Linked DNA regions of Sus scrofa. The protein of the gene in region 3 interacts with the protein of the main gene of each other region in a biochemical or structural test. Links are inferred from orthologs where the notes say so. Each region holds a gene or a part of one and is shown on either strand. Other genes may lie near its edges.

Region 1 (4,462 bases), on a different chromosome or scaffold from region 3:
TCTCAGGCTGGGAAACGTGTGATACCGCTGTTGTTGGAAAAATGGAGGAGCTGGGTGAATGGGCGGAGGCGTCTGAGGGACTCAGAAAGGGGGCACCCTTGCTGCTCTCGCCTCTACCCACTGCATCCAGGCCAGACTCTTCCCTCGTAAAACTAATGACTCCTTAACGAGCTGCGCCCTGGGCTGTGAACATTGGGCAAGTTAGCACAGAAGAACACCAGAGAAGGATTGCTATCAGCCGGGGACGAGGCGGGGCAGTCCTAGAAGGCTTGTCGCAGGAGGTGAGGTGTGAGCCAAGCTGGGAAGGAGACGGATGGCCTTGGATTCGTAGGCAGGATAGACTTGGACGGGTAGGGGCGAGTTCAGGGCCCTTTGGCCGGAGGGAGCTGTGAAGCTTGGAGAGGGGCAGGGAGGGCAATGGTCAATTGGGGGCGACTGGCAGAAATCCCCAGATGACAGCGGATTGAGTCACTGGATGGACTGGTAAACTCCGAAGAGCTGCTGAGAAAGGAGGCAGGGCGTGTGGCCTCCGAGCTGCAGCAGGTGGCCCTGCTGGCCCTGGGCTTTGCCTGGTGGCTGGAAATAAGCAGTGGCCCAGTTCTGCGCTGACATTTCCGAAGGGGCAAGTGCCCAGGGCCGCTTGAGGAATCCCTGCGAGGCCAAGGCCGAAGACAGAGCTGGAGCCCCCCCTCCCCTCCCCTTCCTCCCCCCTCCGCCTCCCCCCCCAGTAACCCCGCCCTTGGCGCTCTTCCCAGGAAGCTGCTGTGGGCGGAGTCAAGTTAGATGGCGGCGACGCAGGAGGGAAGGTGGAGGAAGAGAACAGGAGCCTGAAGGCTGAGCTGAAGAGGCTGAAGGAAGAGCTGGCCGTCAGCAAGCAGAGTGAGCACTGTCCTCGGGTCACGCCCGGCCCCCAGAAGTCTGGAGCCTGTGCCAGTGGCTGCCGCACTTCTCATGCCGAAGTATCAATGAGAGACACGCAGGGGCCAGGAGCGGGGTGGAAACAAGCAGATGGCCCCTGCTCGGCCAGCCCCAGTGCAGCCGGGCTCAGCCCCAGCCGGTGGGGCTTAGTGGTTCCTCGGTGCAGGCAGGGTCCCCACCGGGGAGCCCCAGAGGCCACGTCCAGAGTGTCCCATGCAGCGCCCGGCGAGGAGTGGCGTTGTGCCCCGTCGCCAGGGGCCTGGCGGGGTGGGGAAGGAGAGCCTCAGTCAGAGGTGCCTCCTCCTCTGACCTGGGCATTTCCGCAGCGTTTGTCCCAGGCCGGCAGCTTCCCTGCGATCCCACCCCCTGCTGAGAGGCATGTCCGTTACAGGGGCTGGCGGGGATCCTCCATGTTTTCCCGCTTGCCACAGCCTTGTCGGCCAGCCCTCTGCCACTTTTGGAGGCTCTCAAGGCAGCTTTCTTGAGCAGAGTGGTCTCCCAGGCACCCTGGCTGGGGACAGATTGGGGGTGGCTGCACCTGCTCTCTCCAGCAAAGGTTCCTTTTCCCCTAATCCTAATCTTTGAACGTTCCTCCCTTTCACTGCTCGCATTGTCCACAGAGCTGGAGAAGGCTGAAAACGAGGCTCTGGCCATGCGGAAGCAGTCGGAGGGCCTCACCAAGGAGTACGACCGCCTGTTGGAGGAGCACACAAAGCTGCAGGTCAGCACGCCGCCGCCGCCTGCCCTGTTGGAACGGGACCCTGCCCCACCCCCCGAGCGGGCGCAGAGCTGGCTGCCCATTCTCTCTGCCTCGGGGCGGACCTGTCCCTGGGAGAGGCCTCGGCAGCGGGCTGGCTGCTTGCTCTCTCCCCCAGTCCCCCTTTTCCCTCTTGCTGCTGAGTCTGGTGCCAGTCTGGGTCCAACAGCCGGAACGCTTTCTTGAGCAGGAGGGCTTGTGGCCTGGTAGGGGGCAGCTGCTAACGAAGGTGGCCTTGGTAGCTGGGCCCTAGCCTCGTGCCCAGCATCAGTGCCCCCTTGAGCAAAGCTCCTTTCCTTGGGTACAGTTCTCGTCCCGCGTACACCGCAGGGGAAACGCCAGCCCCGGCTGCTGGCTTCCCGCTGTGGGGGCTGTGGGGGCTGTGGGGTGAGGTGGGGCAGAGAGCTCCAGGCTGCGCTGCTGGTCACAGCCTCCACCTACACCGCCAGGCCCCTCAGACTACCTGCATCCGGAAGCTTGGGTGGCCTGGAAATGGGGCGTGAGGGCCCAGCAGATAGACACCCCTAGGTTCTGACAGCTCGCCTTGGTGCCTGGTGGCCCAAGTTTGGGCACCATGGAGGGCGGAGAGGAGCTGACAGCTTCAGCGCAGGGCAGGCTCCCCAGCGGGACCTGTGCAAGGTGTGCAGAGTCGGAAAGAGCCTGAACTGGGACTTGGAAGGGACTCAAATGCCGAGGTGCCCTGGGGACGAGGGTGCGGGCGAGGGAGGCCCAGGAGGTATTGCTGCGAGGGCGGGGCTCTAAGAAAAGAGTGACAGCGGAGGCTTCCAGCTGTGCCCCCTCCCACTGGAGTGGGGCCATTCCTACCCTGGCAGGCCGTGGGGTGCCGCTGAGGGTGGGGTCCCTCGCTCACCTGGCTACCTGGCATTTGGGGAAAGGCGCACCCTGCTGGGCCTCCCTGTAGGGTGGCGGGGCTGGAAGGCGAAGGGGAGGAGGGCACCCTGCCAACCCACTGCTTTGCAATTTCTGTCCCCTTTGCAGGCGGCGGTAGATGGCCCCACGGACAAGAAGGAGGAGTGAGGGCCCCTGTTCCCTGCCCGTGGCTGGCTGCTTCGCGAGAGCCCAGCCTCCCTCGGCACTTCGGCTCGCTCCCCTCCGCTGCTGTTTCCCCGCGCTGCTTGCAGTTCCACGCGCCCCCAGCATTCTGTAGGGGACCCAGTTCCCGTCCAGGATGAGCAGGGCTTGCTTTCCGCTGGATTGAGCCCCTTTGTGTTACGTGTTGCTGTTCGCGCCTCCAAGGCCCCCTTTCTCTGGTCCTGCAGGAAGGCAGATGGAGCAGGAAGAGTAGAGGTTTCTCGGGGCAATAAAGGTTGTTGTGATGTGTTCGTGGTGCGTGTGTGCTTGTGTGTGTGTGTGTGTGTGTGTGTGTGAGAGAGAGAGAGAGACTGGGGCCGCGAGGAGGCCGCCTTGTGCTCCCTCTCCCCGCAGTGGCCGGGAGGCGGCGGCCGGCAGCTCTGACGGAGGACCCCCGCCCCAGTCTTGGCTCTGGAGGGCCGTGTTTTGTCCCCATTTGCTCTGACCCCAGAAGCGTCCCTCATCTCAGGCTAGGCACAGGCTCGCCCTTGGCCTCTCTGCCCCTCTGCCTCCTGCTCCCCTGCCAGGCCCCGCGTTACAGCTCCATGGGGCGGGTCTGTCCTTTCCGTCTCCCTGGGGGTTGGCCGCTGGGCCCGGGGGAGCTTGGGAGACCCGGTGAACCAGTGGCGCTTCCGGGTGGCAGGCTCGCCTGTCTCCTCTGGGTCCCGTTCATCACATTTAGGACAGATAGAACGTGGCAGAGCGCCACCAGTCACTCCCTGCCCCCCCCCCGAAGGTTTTACAGGATGACCTCTGACTAATGCTGGCTAGGAGAGGAGACTCGCCCTTGGCAGTGACCTACGACTGGCCCAGGGCAGAGCTAGGCTGTGGAGAGGGCCTCCAGACGGGGTCAAGGCCGCCCCCCCACCCCCGCCGCCTGTAGCCTCTTAAACGTGTAGGTGCGCTCCCTGCTCACAGCCTCCCCCTGGGCGGCCCCCTAGACCGGCCTGGGTCGGGGGGCCTTGAGGACGGGGCCGGGGGCTGGGGACCAGGTTGGAGGTGTTCGTGTAGAGTTGGGGGGTTCCTGGGGATGGCGGTGGTGCTGACAGTCAGCTGTGCGTGCTGCCCCTCCTGCCAGCTGCAGGCTGAGGGCTCCCTTCGCCAGTGTCCTTTGCCCACGTTCTCACGAGGGGTGCCGCCCCTTTCTGGGCTGCCTACTGGGTGGTGTCTGCCGGTTGCTATGCTGAGGCTGAGGGCTAGTCCCACTTTTCCAGGAAGTGTTCCCCGACTACCTCGGCCTCCCCAAGCTCTCCCTTCCCTGAACCTCTGCGGGCCAAAGTCCAGACTGCCTGCAGGTTCTTCTCTGGCCAGCCCCGAGTCCCCCTGAACCCCGTCGGTGTCAGGCCTCGGCCTGGGCGGAGGGGAAAAAGCGGCCCCAGGCCACTTCTGGAACACCCTGTCTGGCCGGGGGCCGGAAGAGACAGCGGCAGAGGCTCAGCAGACTCTTGAAGGTGCAAAGCCTAGACTGGCAGGCCGCCTGCAGGAGCTGGCCCCCTCTGGCCCATCCTGAGGGCTGTTTTCCTCCAGCTGCGTCCGCTCTGAGTGGGACCGCGCCCCCACTGTCCCCCACAGCCTCCGCCGTCGTGCCCCTGGCTCTAGTGACCCTGTGGCCTGCGCTGATCCTTCCCTTGCCCGTCTCTCCTGTTAGACTACAGGGCCCTGTGTCCTAAGCTCCTCCTGCAGGGACAGATGCCC
Region 2 (5,749 bases), on a different chromosome or scaffold from region 3:
ATATAAAGATGAATATGAACTAATCTCTTTACATGAGCCACTTAAAATCTAATAGGATAATACACAAATAATTTTAGTACGCTTTTTAAATGTTTTAAGGGAAATACAGACAGTGTTCCATAGGCGTACAGAAGACGACTTATCCCAGCATGGGGGTGTAGAGAATGAATTTGAAGATGGCATCTGAGCTGATTCTTAAAGGATGAGTAGGAGTTAGCCATCTGAAAAAGGGTGGTGATGGGGGATGTGGAAGAGAAGGGAGAGGGGCATTAAGGCAGAGGGAATAGTCTGAAGAAAGTTGCAGAGAAATGAACTGCATGATGTATGTGAACTACAAACAAACCGATAATGTTAGAGAATAAAAAGTTATGAGGTGGGCAAAGCAGGCAAGACCTGTTCTTGGAAGGCTGGTGTGTTGTGTAAGGAGTTTGGAGTGTTCTCATAGGTAAGGAGGGAACTCTAGGTAGGTCTTAAGCTGAAAAATGGTGTAGTCATTTCGAGGCCAGGGATTGAACCTGTGCCTCAGCAGTAGCCAGAGCCATGTCAGTGTAAATGCTGGATTCTTAACCTGCTGAGCCACCAGTGAACTCCACTTATGCATTTTAGGTAGTTAATTCAGCTGGATGTGGGGGATGGATTTAAGCAGGTTCAGATTGGTGGTAGGGAGAACCCTTAAAGAGTAATCCATGTAAGAAGGAGTTCCCGTCATGGCACAGAGGAAGCAAATCCGACTAGGAACCATGAGGTTGCAGGTTTGATCCCTAGCCTCGCTCAGTGGGTTAAGGATCTGGCATTGCCATGAACTGTGGTGTAGGTTATAGATGAGGCTTGGATCTGATGTGGCTGTGGTGTAGGTCGGCAGCAACAACTCCAATTAGACCCCTAGCCTGGGAACCTCCATATGCCATGACTGTGGCCCTAAAAAGCAAAAAAAAAAAAGTAATCCTGGTGAGAGATTATTGGGACTTGAACCAGGCTGGTGGTAGTAGAAGTGGAAAGGTGAGGTAGATTTAAGAAATATGTAGGAGTAGCATCAACAGGAATTTTAATTGGGAGTTCCCATTGTGGCTCAGTGGGTTAAGAACCTGACAGAGTATCTGTGAGGATGTTGGTTCAATCCCTGGTCTCGCTCAGTGGGTTAAGGATCTAGTGTTGCCACAAGCTGTGGCATAGGCCACAGGTGTGATTCGGATCCAGCGTTGCTGTGGCTGTGCTGTAGGCCAGCTGCTGCAGCTCCAATTCAGCCCCTACCCCAGGAGCTTTCATGTGGCTCAGGTGTGGCCGTAAAAAGAAAAAAAAAAAAAAAAAGCCCAGGAATTTATAATTGATTGGTGATTGAAGCTTGTGGTCAGAAGGTGGAGCAGTATTGGGAGGTACTCTCTGGTGGGGCAGTAAATATGGAGTGGCTGGAGTGGAGGTGAAGGTTGTTGGACTTCAGGATTGGTTATTGGCTGGGTCACTGACATTGCTTAAGGTGATGGGGGAAATTTGTGACTCAAATGCCAAAATAATATAATAAATATAAGATTATGATTGATCATTGACAGGGGATTGGTAAATGACAATCATGAGGAAAGGTTAGAAGATGGCATATCCAAATGGTGTGTGAATATCAGGGGAGTAGAGATGGCATAGGAGAATTACAAGAATGTTCAACATAGGAGCTTAGTAATGTTTGTTGATTTAAATCCATGAGCTTTGGTGGATATTTGATGAACTTTCTGAGCAGTTATTTCTCTGGACTTGATTGTAGGAACAATGAGGGTACGTTTTTGGCGGGATGAATCTGGGCTGCAGAGGCCAAAGGATGCTTATCTCATTGAAATTGCCTAATCATTTAGAGGAGGTTTGGAGTGGTTTCACATGCATTTTCTCGTAGGATTCTTAACAATTCTGAGTAGTTTCTTTCAATCCCTGTTTTGCAGATGGAGGCAATGAGACTTTTGAGCTGACTTGCCTAAGGTTACACAGTTACACAGTTTGTTAGTTGAAGGCAGAATTGAAGCTTGTTCTAACCCCAAAGATTTTCAGTTTTCCTGCTTTCAGTCCCCAAGTTCATCTGATGGAGCTTCTATATTAGAATTAAGAGTGAATTCTTGGGGAGTTCCTGTTGTGGCGCAGTGGTTAACGAATCCAACTAGGAACCATGAGGTTGCGGGTTCGGTCCCTGCCCTTGCTCAGTGGGTTGATGATCCGGCGTTGCTGTGAGCTGTGGTGTAGGTTGCAGACGCAGCTCAGATCCCGCGTTGCTGTGGCTCTGGCATAGGCCAGTGGCTACAGCTCCAATTCGACCCCTAGCCCGGGAACCTCCATATGCCGCGGGAACGGCCCAAGAAATAGCTAAAAAGACAGAAAAAAAAAGGGGGGGGTGAATTCTCTACTTTCCAATTTCGCCTATATTTAAGAGATGGGGAGTTCTCTTTGTGGTTCAGTGGGTTAAGGACCTTATGTTGTCTCTGTGAGGGTGCAGGTTTGATCCCTGGCCTACTCATTAGGTTAAGGATCTGGCATTGCCGCAAGTTGCAGCATAGGTGGCAGATGCGACTGGGATCTGGCATTGCTGTGGCTGTGATGTAGGCCGGCAACTGCAGCTCCGATTTGACCCCTAGCTTGGGAACTTCCTTACACCATGGGTACGGCCACAAAGAAGAGAAAAAATAAAATTAGAAGAGATGGCTTGGAGTTTCCCTTGTGGCTCAGAGGTAACAAATCCAACTAGTATCCATGAGGATAGGGATTTGATCCCTGGCCTCACTCAGTGGGTTAAGGATCTGGTGTTGCTGTGAGCTGTGGTGTAGGTCACAGATGTGGCTTGGATTCCACGTTGTTGTGGCTGTGGTGTAGGCTGGCAGCTGCAGCTTTGTCAGCCCCTAGCCTGGGAACCTCCATATGCCATGGATGAGGCCCCAAAAAGACAAAAAAAAAAAAAAAAAAAAAAAAAAAAAAGGAGAGAAATGGCTTTGATTGGGTGCTGTCAGGGAGCACATAGGGACCAAAAGCAGTATTTTGGAGGCCAGAGGAACAATCAGGGTAACATTTAAAAGCAACTTCTGCTGAATACGGAGCACTAAGATTGCAATGAGGGAGTTCCCGTCGTGGCGCAGTGGTTAACGAATCCGACTAGGAACCATGAGGTTGCGGGTTCGGTCCCTGCCCTTGCTCAGTGGGTTGACGATCCGGCGTTGCTGTGAGCTGTGGTGTAGGTTGCAGAGGCAGCTCGGATCCCGCGTTGCTGTGGCTCTGGCGTAGGCCAGTGGCTACAGCTCCGATTAGACCCCTAGCCTGGGAACCTCCATGTGCCTCGGGAGCAGCCCAAGAAATAGCAAAAAAGACCAAAAAAAAAAAAAAAAAAATAAGATTGCAATGAAAAGTCTCACTTAGTGGAAGTGACTCTTTCTCTAGTAGGATCTGGACTTAGGGCAGCATCTGTTGGATATGTTGAGTTCTAGGCTTTATTTTTTATTCATTTTTTTGTCTTTTTGCCTTTTCTAGGGTCGCTCCTACGGCATATGGAGGTTCCCAGGCTAGGGGTCTAATCAGAGCTGTAGCTGCCAGCCTACGCCAGAACCATAGCAATGCCAGATCCGAGCCGTGTCTGTGACCTACACCACAGCTCACAGCAATGCCGGATGCTTAACCCACTGAGCAAGGCCAGGGATTCAACCTGCAACCTCATGGTTCCTAGTAGGATTCATTAGCCACTGAGCCACGAAGGGAACTCCTAGGCTTTATTTTTTAATAAACACTTTGTAAAAGTTAATAAACACTAAAGCATTACATTGTGCCAGGCATGGGTTAGGCTCTGGGAACAACAGGAATGGATAAGACTAGTTCCCGATATTAAATGGCTCACAGGTTCTCTCCTTGTCCTTACAGTATAGTGGGGATTGTGGCTGCTGAGCAGGGATTCTGGAAAGCTTTGTGCACCTGAGCCCCCAGCATGGCGGGCCTAAAGCGGCGGGCAAGCCAGGTGTGGCCAGAAGAGCACGGTGAGCAGGAGCATGGGCTGTACAGCCTGCACCGCATGTTTGACATCGTGGGCACCCATCTGACACACAGAGATGTGCGAGTTCTTTCCTTCCTCTTTGTTGATGTCATTGATGACCACGAACGTGGCCTCATCCGAAATGGACGTGACTTCTTATTGGCGCTGGAGCGCCAGGGCCGCTGTGATGAGAGTAACTTTCGCCAGGTGCTGCAGCTGCTGCGCATCATCACTCGCCATGACCTGCTGCCCTACGTCACCCTCAAGAGGAGACGGGCTGGTGAGGGTGCACTGGGGGCTGGGGACACTCGAATCAGGGAAGAGTTGTGGGAGGCCAGGAGTGAACAGCATAGTCCAAGCAGGAGGAGGTACTGACCCTGGGGATTACCAAGGAGAATAAGTTATGAGGCCCACTGGAGAGTTGGACTAGGAGAAAGGAAGGGTGTATCTTTTTCTGAGTGAGCCTCTCTCTCCCTACAGTGTGCCCTGATCTCGTAGACAAGTATCTGGAGGAGACATCAGTTCGCTATGTGACACCCAGAACCCTCAGTGATCCAGAACCGAGGCCTCCCCACCCCCCTAAAACAGGTGAGCAGATAGTAATTCCCCCTAATTTCCATCATCAACAAGGAAGACACTGGACCCATCATTTTTTCAGCTTTGCCAGCCTAAGTGAAAGGACACTGTCCCCTCCCCCCACATCTGGCCCCATAAAAATCAGATGGGGGTGTTAATGCTTCACTAGTCCTTTACTTATTCCCACATATCCACCTTTCAGGTAATATTATTGATACTCCTTTAAGTGCTAAGTCGAAACGATTCTTTCTTCATTCCAAGTGAAGTGTTTGAATTTCTGCTTTTACCCTACTGAGTCTTCTCCCTTTTTACCCTCTGGTCAGTGCCTCCCCACTATCCTGTGGTGTGCTGCCCCACTTCGGGCCCTCAGATGTGTAGCAAGCGGCCAGCTCGAGGGAGAGCCACACTTGGGAGCCAGCGAAAACGCCGGAAGTCAGTGACACCAGATCCCAAGGAAAAGCAGACATGTGGTAAGGAAGTTCAAGGATTCCAGAGGTGGAGTGAACTTGAGGGGAAATACAGAGAACTGCCAGGATGCTGGGCAGTGTTTATGCTATTCAGTGCAAGGCTTGCTTTGCTTGCAGTTGCAAAGTAAGGTTGAGTGGTATAGTCTCTGGGAGGAGAATTCCTCTATCTTTGTGGCAGAGTATATTTCAATTTTTTCTGGGTAATACTAGATGAAAGGGATGCCATTATGACATCCTTATTGTAGGATGACCCAAATCATGATAGGGTATTAAAGTGAACTTCTGTGTTTGTTAATTAGGAAAATATCTTCTAGAATCAGGTGCTACTTGTGAGTGATGGAAATAATCTGGGCATGGCCCATTTAAGGGAACCTCTCTGAGTTAAGGCAAGGATTTCAGAGATACATAAAAAAGAACTAGTCCTCATTGTGAGTCAGCTATACTAAAAAAAAAAAAAATTAAAAATTAAAAAAAAAAAAGAACTAGTCCTGGGGAGAGGTAGAAAAGCTGTCAGTTGGTGTTCCCAACTTCGCTACTCTGCTGTTCTTTTCCACCTTTCAAACTTGGGTGTAAACTCAGCCCTTCACTGCAACCTCTTCTCTATCTCTTCTCTTCCCCACAGACATCAGGCTGCGAGTTCGGGCTGAATACTGCCAGCATGAGACTGCTCTACAGGGGAATGTCTTCTCTAACAAGCAGGACCCACTTGAGCGCCAGTTTG
Region 3 (5,749 bases):
TCTGTAGACTGTGGATAGTATTATATCCACCCCACTGGGAGAGGTTGAGGATGACATAAATAAGTGTACCTGAAACCCTTAAACCAAGCTTTGGCAACACACTAAGTGTTCAAACATGGCAGGTATTATTATTTCCCAAAATACGATAGGCTCTTGGGATATGCTTGTTGATTGAATAAGGGAATATTTTATACGGCAGCAAATCTTTTGCTATTATGGTATAATGGAAAATAACTTCAATACAAAAACATGTTAACTTCAAAATTAAATTAGAAAATGAAAATCTGAAAATAAAAACATGGTCGACCCTTGAACAACATAAGTTTGAAGTGCGTGGGTCCATATGTACATGGATTTTTTTTTCAATAAATACCTAACACAGTACCACATGGTCTGCAGTCGGATGAATCTGCAAATGTGGAACCTAAGATACAGGGGTGGACTCTAAGTTATAAGTGGGTTTCCAATTGTGCAGAGAGTCCTCACCCCCAACTCCCATGTTGTTCAATGATCAACTGCAGTGTAGAAGCAGCGGTTACTCAGTATTATCACCCACTCCATCCTTCTCAGAAAATCTCTGCCCTAGAAGTGGTTCTGTGATGTTTTCTCAGTTTGGCCAAGATTGGGTCCAATCAAAAGCTATCTCCCCTTTTAACCTTATCACAAGACATCTTGCCTTTCTACATCTCGCATTACTGACATCTGCTGACATTTCTGTACCATCATTGTCCAGAAAGAAACCTGGATGGTTTATAAGGTAATGATTTTATAGGTAGCAACGATAATTTGAAAAAAAATTTTTTAATGCCAAACCTGCAGTTTATGGAAGTTCCCAGGCTAGGGGTCGAACTTGGAGCTACAGTTGCCAGTCACAGCCACAGCCACAGCCATGTGGGATCCGAGCCTTGTCTGTGACCTACACCATAGCTCACAACACCACCAGATCCTTAACACATTGAGTGAGGCCAGGGATCAAACCTGCATCCTCATGGGTCCTAGTCAGTTTGTTACTGCTGAGCCACAACGGGAACTCTGATACTTTGAAATTTTAATTGTCTAGTGTTTTCTTATAACTGGAAAATGGTCACACTAGCATATTTCTCATTTCCTGGAAAATATTCAACAATGTTGAACAAGCAGTAGATTGTATCTGTGCTGACCCTTTTGCTCCCAAGCTAACATGTCAAAGATTTTTTTTTAATGATTTTTACTTTTTCCATTATAGTTGGTTTAGTGTTCTGTCTTGAAGATTTTAACAGACAGCTCCTGCCCTTGTTAGAGTCTCTTAACCCTCTAACAGAGGCCCATGTCCTCTGCTTTGGCAGTTTGCCTTGGCCTTGCTCACATGGCAGGAGTGCCACCTTCAGAAGACCAAGACGAGACCCTCCAGCTTTCCTAATTATGGAGCCATTGTTTTTTATGATTAGTTGGTGCCTTAATGAAAAGATTTTCATTATAAGGACTGTACAATTCTATTAAACCAAAGTTACCCTGGATTGAATAATAACCTTCCCCACTCTCCTTCCAAATTCATGTCCACCTGGTATGTGTAAATGTGACTTCATTTGGAAAAAGAGTCTCCGTGAATGTAATCTTGTTAAGATGAGGTCACAGCAGATTAGGATGGCCCTAATCCAGTGACTGGTATCATTAAAAGAACATGGAAATTTATTTTTCCTTTTTTTTCAGGGCCGCACCCATGGCCTATGGAACTTCCTGGGTTAGGGGTCAAATCAGAGCTGCAGCTGCCGGCCTACACCACAGTCACAGCAGCAAGGGATCGGAGCAGCGTCTGTGACCTACACCACAGCTCACGGTAATGCCAGATCCTTAACCCACTGAGCAAGGCCAGGAATTGAACCCACATCCTCATGGATACTAGTTGGGTTCGTTACCAATATGCCACCACAGAAACTCCCTCCAAATTTCTTCCTGTGGCCCTGATGGGACATCTTTGCAGTGTTCAAAGTCACACCACACACACAGCCTGCACACAGCCTCAGCCAGGCCCCTAAAGATATGTTCATTCGACCCCCACCTCCCAGGTCCACACCATGGACGTTCTCCCCACCTGTAGGCAGAGATCTGGGCCCTGCCTGGTATCCGAAGCTCACTCTCCATCTCCTCCTCATTGGTTTCCAGGTAATTGATCAGAAGATCCAGTCTATTCATTCGGAAAAGCAGTTCCTTCAAGAAGGACAAGTTGCTTTCCTCCAACATTCTCTTTTCTTGGAGCCTCTGGAATAACATCAGAGCATCTTTGATGGGTTCCTGCTTCCTATGTGGGATGTAGTCCAGGCTCAGGAACTTGAGGGAAGCCAGGTCATCACTGTCCAAATGTTCCCCAATATTATAGAGACATCTGTTGAAATTCATGCTGCTCAAGCGTTAGGAGGATGTAGTTGTAACCTAGGTCAAAACGCATTGTTATGTTCAGATGAGGAAGAAAACTACCACTTACTGTTGTGTGTGTGTGTGCGCAAGCGCGTTTGTTTTTTTAAGGCCGCACCAGTGGCATATGGAGGTTCCCAGGCTAGGGGTCGAATCAGAGCTGTAGCTGCCAGCCTACACCAGAGCCACAGCAACACCAGATCCGAGCTGCGTCTGCAACCTACACCACAGCTCACAGCAACGCCGGATCCTTAACCCACTGAGCGAGGCCAGGGATTGAACCCGCAACCTCATGGTTCCTAGTCGGATTCATTTCCGCTGTGCCATGATGGGAACTCTAAGGCTCCTGACTTTTTAAGCTTCATGCCTTTGCTGATTTTCTTGGATGAAACCACAAATTCTGACTGTCACTTGAGGTGGTGATCAAGTGAGCCAGGACCCATGTATTCCGTAAATTTGATGTTAAAATGAAAGCATAAAGGTAAATTTTAATGTACTTTTTTAAATGGTGCAAAAGACTTTGATGCTTTTAGTCTTGGTGTTTTTTTTTGAAACATCTTTGGAGGGATGGAGTAGGAGGTTGAGGTTCGCAGACATAAGCGACTACACATGAAGGGGATGATCAACAAGCCCCTGCTGCACAGCACAGAGGACTATAGTCAATGTCCTATGATCACCCATAATGGAAGAGAATATTTTTTAAAAGGAGTGTGTGTGTGTGCACATATATAATATATACATATATCACTAAATCGCTTTGCTATATAGCAGAAATTTATATAATATTGTAAATCAATTACACTTCAATTTCCTCCAATCCTGATTATAGAATGCTGGGGGTTATTTTGGTGAAAATTGAAAATATAATAAATTACAAAATTGTCACAGTTATCATTATTATATACCCCCCACACACACACATACACACAAAGGTGCATTTATATAAAAATTAGAGTCGGATTGCACATCCAACTATGTACACCTGGGTTTTGTTTTTGTTTTTGTTTTTACCCACTTAGTATTTAGAATGAACATTTATCCTACCATAAATATTCTTTTTGGGCATGTTTTTAGTGTTTCTTAATTTCCACCATGTGGAGATATCAAAATTTATTTTAAGCAATTTTCCATTTCTTTACTATTAAAAATAATATTGCATTGAGAGGTTTTTTCATGTATCCTGTACATATCTTTGATTATTTCCTTCTTGGAGTTATGGGCAAAACGTTTTTCTCCTTTTTAACCGACATTATTATTTAGACAAGTTTTCTTGGTTAGGAAAGCAGAAGGACAGTGTCTTGGAAATATACATTTTGGTTTACACTAGATTCATGAAGCCTGCAGAGCCTACATCATGTACTACAAAAGCAACCAATTATCATGAAAATATTTTTATTTAGGAAAGGTATCTTAAATGTGCAGCCAGCAACTAAAAGCATGTGTTCAAAGTACCACAAACAAGGAGTTCCCGTTGCGGTGCAGTGGTTAATGAATCTGACTAGGAACCATGAGGTTGTGGGTTCGATCCCTGGCCTTGATCAGTGGGTTAAGGATCTGGCGTTGCTGTGAGCTGTGGTATAGGTTGCAGATGCGGCTCAGATCCCGCATTGCTGTGGCTCTGGTTTAGGTCCGTGTCTACAGCTCTGATTAGACCCCTAGCCTGGGAACCTCCATATGCTGCGGGTGAGCCCCTAGAAAAGGCAAAAAGACCAAAAAAAAAACCAAAAAACAACAAACGAAAACTCCTGGATATTCAAGGGAACCAACTAGCAAGTTCATTCCTTAAATCGCACTCAATGGAAACACACGTGTGCTCAACAGGGTTTGTACGTGGACTCCCACCACAGCATGATATAACCTTGAACAATTAGAAACATTCCAAATATCCTCCAATAAAGAAATGGCTAAAAACCTAATCATACTACAGAACATTATGCAACAGCTAAGAAAATGCACCCCATCTTCTGAAATAAAACTGGATAGATATTCAAGACAGGTTATTATGACAATGAAAAAAGTGAGTTGCAATATAACCAAAAAAAATTATGCATCTGTTTTTTATTTTTTAGAAACAGATAAAACAATGAGACTTTCTGTCATTACAGACACACATATATACACATGAGCAGAAAACAATAAGATAAGGAAATTCTGGAAAGAAACAAACCTAACTCAGAAAGTACATCCAATCGTATTCACAGATCTTTGATGAAAACACACAGGAAGCTGCTAGAGTGGCTGCCTCAGAGGAGAGGAACTAAAGGCCTGGGGGTGGAGTAGGGTTGGAGGAGGCCCCGGGGTGGACAAGAAAGAGACTTGCTGTTCATTCTACACCCTTTGCACATCGTGAAGGTGTACCATTTGCATGTATTATTTATCCTAAATGCATATGTACTTAAATTAAAACCTCTAAGTAAAGACATATTTTTATTCCAATATATGAACCTAGAAATAATCTGAACTGGGCCCAGCTCTGTTTACTACCTTTAAATCCAGTGTCCTTCCATTTTTAACTGGCTCTAACCACTGTTAAAACATTGTTTTATGGAATAAAATTAACCAAAGAATCAAATGACAGCAGAATTATTTTTTTCTAATGCTAAAAATGCTTCTTGTATTCATTTTAGAAAATATAGAAAAGATAAACAGGTGAATAAAAATTGCCTATAATTCCATCATCCAAAGATAAATACCTAATATCTTACTATCTCTCTTAACAAATATTTTATGTACCTATATGTTCCCTCATATTTGAACACACCATATTTCTGAGAGGCAAGTGGATTTTTCCTCTGATAATAAACACATCTTTATGTCTTTATTTTTTCTACAACATGTATTTTAAAATCTGTAAGATTGTAATCATACAAATGGACAATATTTATCTAACCAGTCTCTGATTATATCTAGGATGATTTTACAATGCAAATCTCCATGTATACCTCTGATTACGTTAACAGAATTATCACTTAGAATAAATAGAAGTAGTATACTGAGACAAGAGCATATTTAATTAAATAGAATAAATAGAAATAGTATTACTGAGACAAGAAGAATAAAGCTTCTTAAGGCTCTTGTTATATATTCAATAGCATTTTCTGATAGTATGTGATAGATGTATACATGTATTAATTTTATTTATATATATATATATTTCCAAGGCCAGGATATCATTGGCTATTACATAACTGGTGTCCATCCTCTGTAGCCAGTTCACCTCAGTTGTATCATTTTTCTTGCTATAGCCTGGCCATGCAGTTTGAAGTGATTTTTTATATCTTACTAAAGTGGACACTTAGTGAAAAAAGCTAGAGGGGCTTCTTTTCTGACCCAGGCTTTCCGGAACATACTGCGGAAT

What was found.
Region 1: of the proteins of CASP8 (region 3) and BCAP31, one has a biochemical effect on the other in vitro, tested with the Homo sapiens proteins (2 studies listed by BioGRID, with this or other methods). The link is inferred for Sus scrofa from reciprocal best matches to the Homo sapiens genes CASP8 and BCAP31.
Region 2: the proteins of CASP8 (region 3) and DEDD form a complex in vitro, tested with the Homo sapiens proteins (2 studies listed by BioGRID). The link is inferred for Sus scrofa from reciprocal best matches to the Homo sapiens genes CASP8 and DEDD.

Annotation. Positions count from the first base shown.
Region 1 is NC_010461.5:124,455,555-124,460,016, reverse strand, and holds the end of BCAP31 (B-cell receptor-associated protein 31), read left to right. Parts: intron 1-755; coding exon 756-879; exon of another isoform or gene 880-1,538; coding exon 1,539-1,861; 3' UTR 1,862-2,674; coding exon of another isoform or gene 2,675-2,713; 3' UTR 2,714-3,018; downstream 3,019-4,462. UniProt on the Homo sapiens protein: Functions as a chaperone protein. Is one of the most abundant endoplasmic reticulum (ER) proteins.
Region 2 is NC_010446.5:89,316,465-89,322,213, forward strand, and holds part of DEDD (death effector domain-containing protein), read left to right. Parts: intron 1-3,876; 5' UTR 3,877-3,940; coding exon 3,941-4,265; intron 4,266-4,465; coding exon 4,466-4,573; intron 4,574-4,884; coding exon 4,885-5,031; intron 5,032-5,650; coding exon 5,651-5,749. UniProt on the Homo sapiens protein: A scaffold protein that directs CASP3 to certain substrates and facilitates their ordered degradation during apoptosis. May also play a role in mediating CASP3 cleavage of KRT18. Regulates degradation of intermediate filaments during apoptosis.
Region 3 is NC_010457.5:104,928,536-104,934,284, reverse strand, and holds part of CASP8 (caspase-8), read right to left. Parts: intron 2,410-5,749; 5' UTR 2,377-2,409; coding exon 2,072-2,376; intron 1-2,071. UniProt on the Homo sapiens protein: Thiol protease that plays a key role in programmed cell death by acting as a molecular switch for apoptosis, necroptosis and pyroptosis, and is required to prevent tissue damage during embryonic development and adulthood.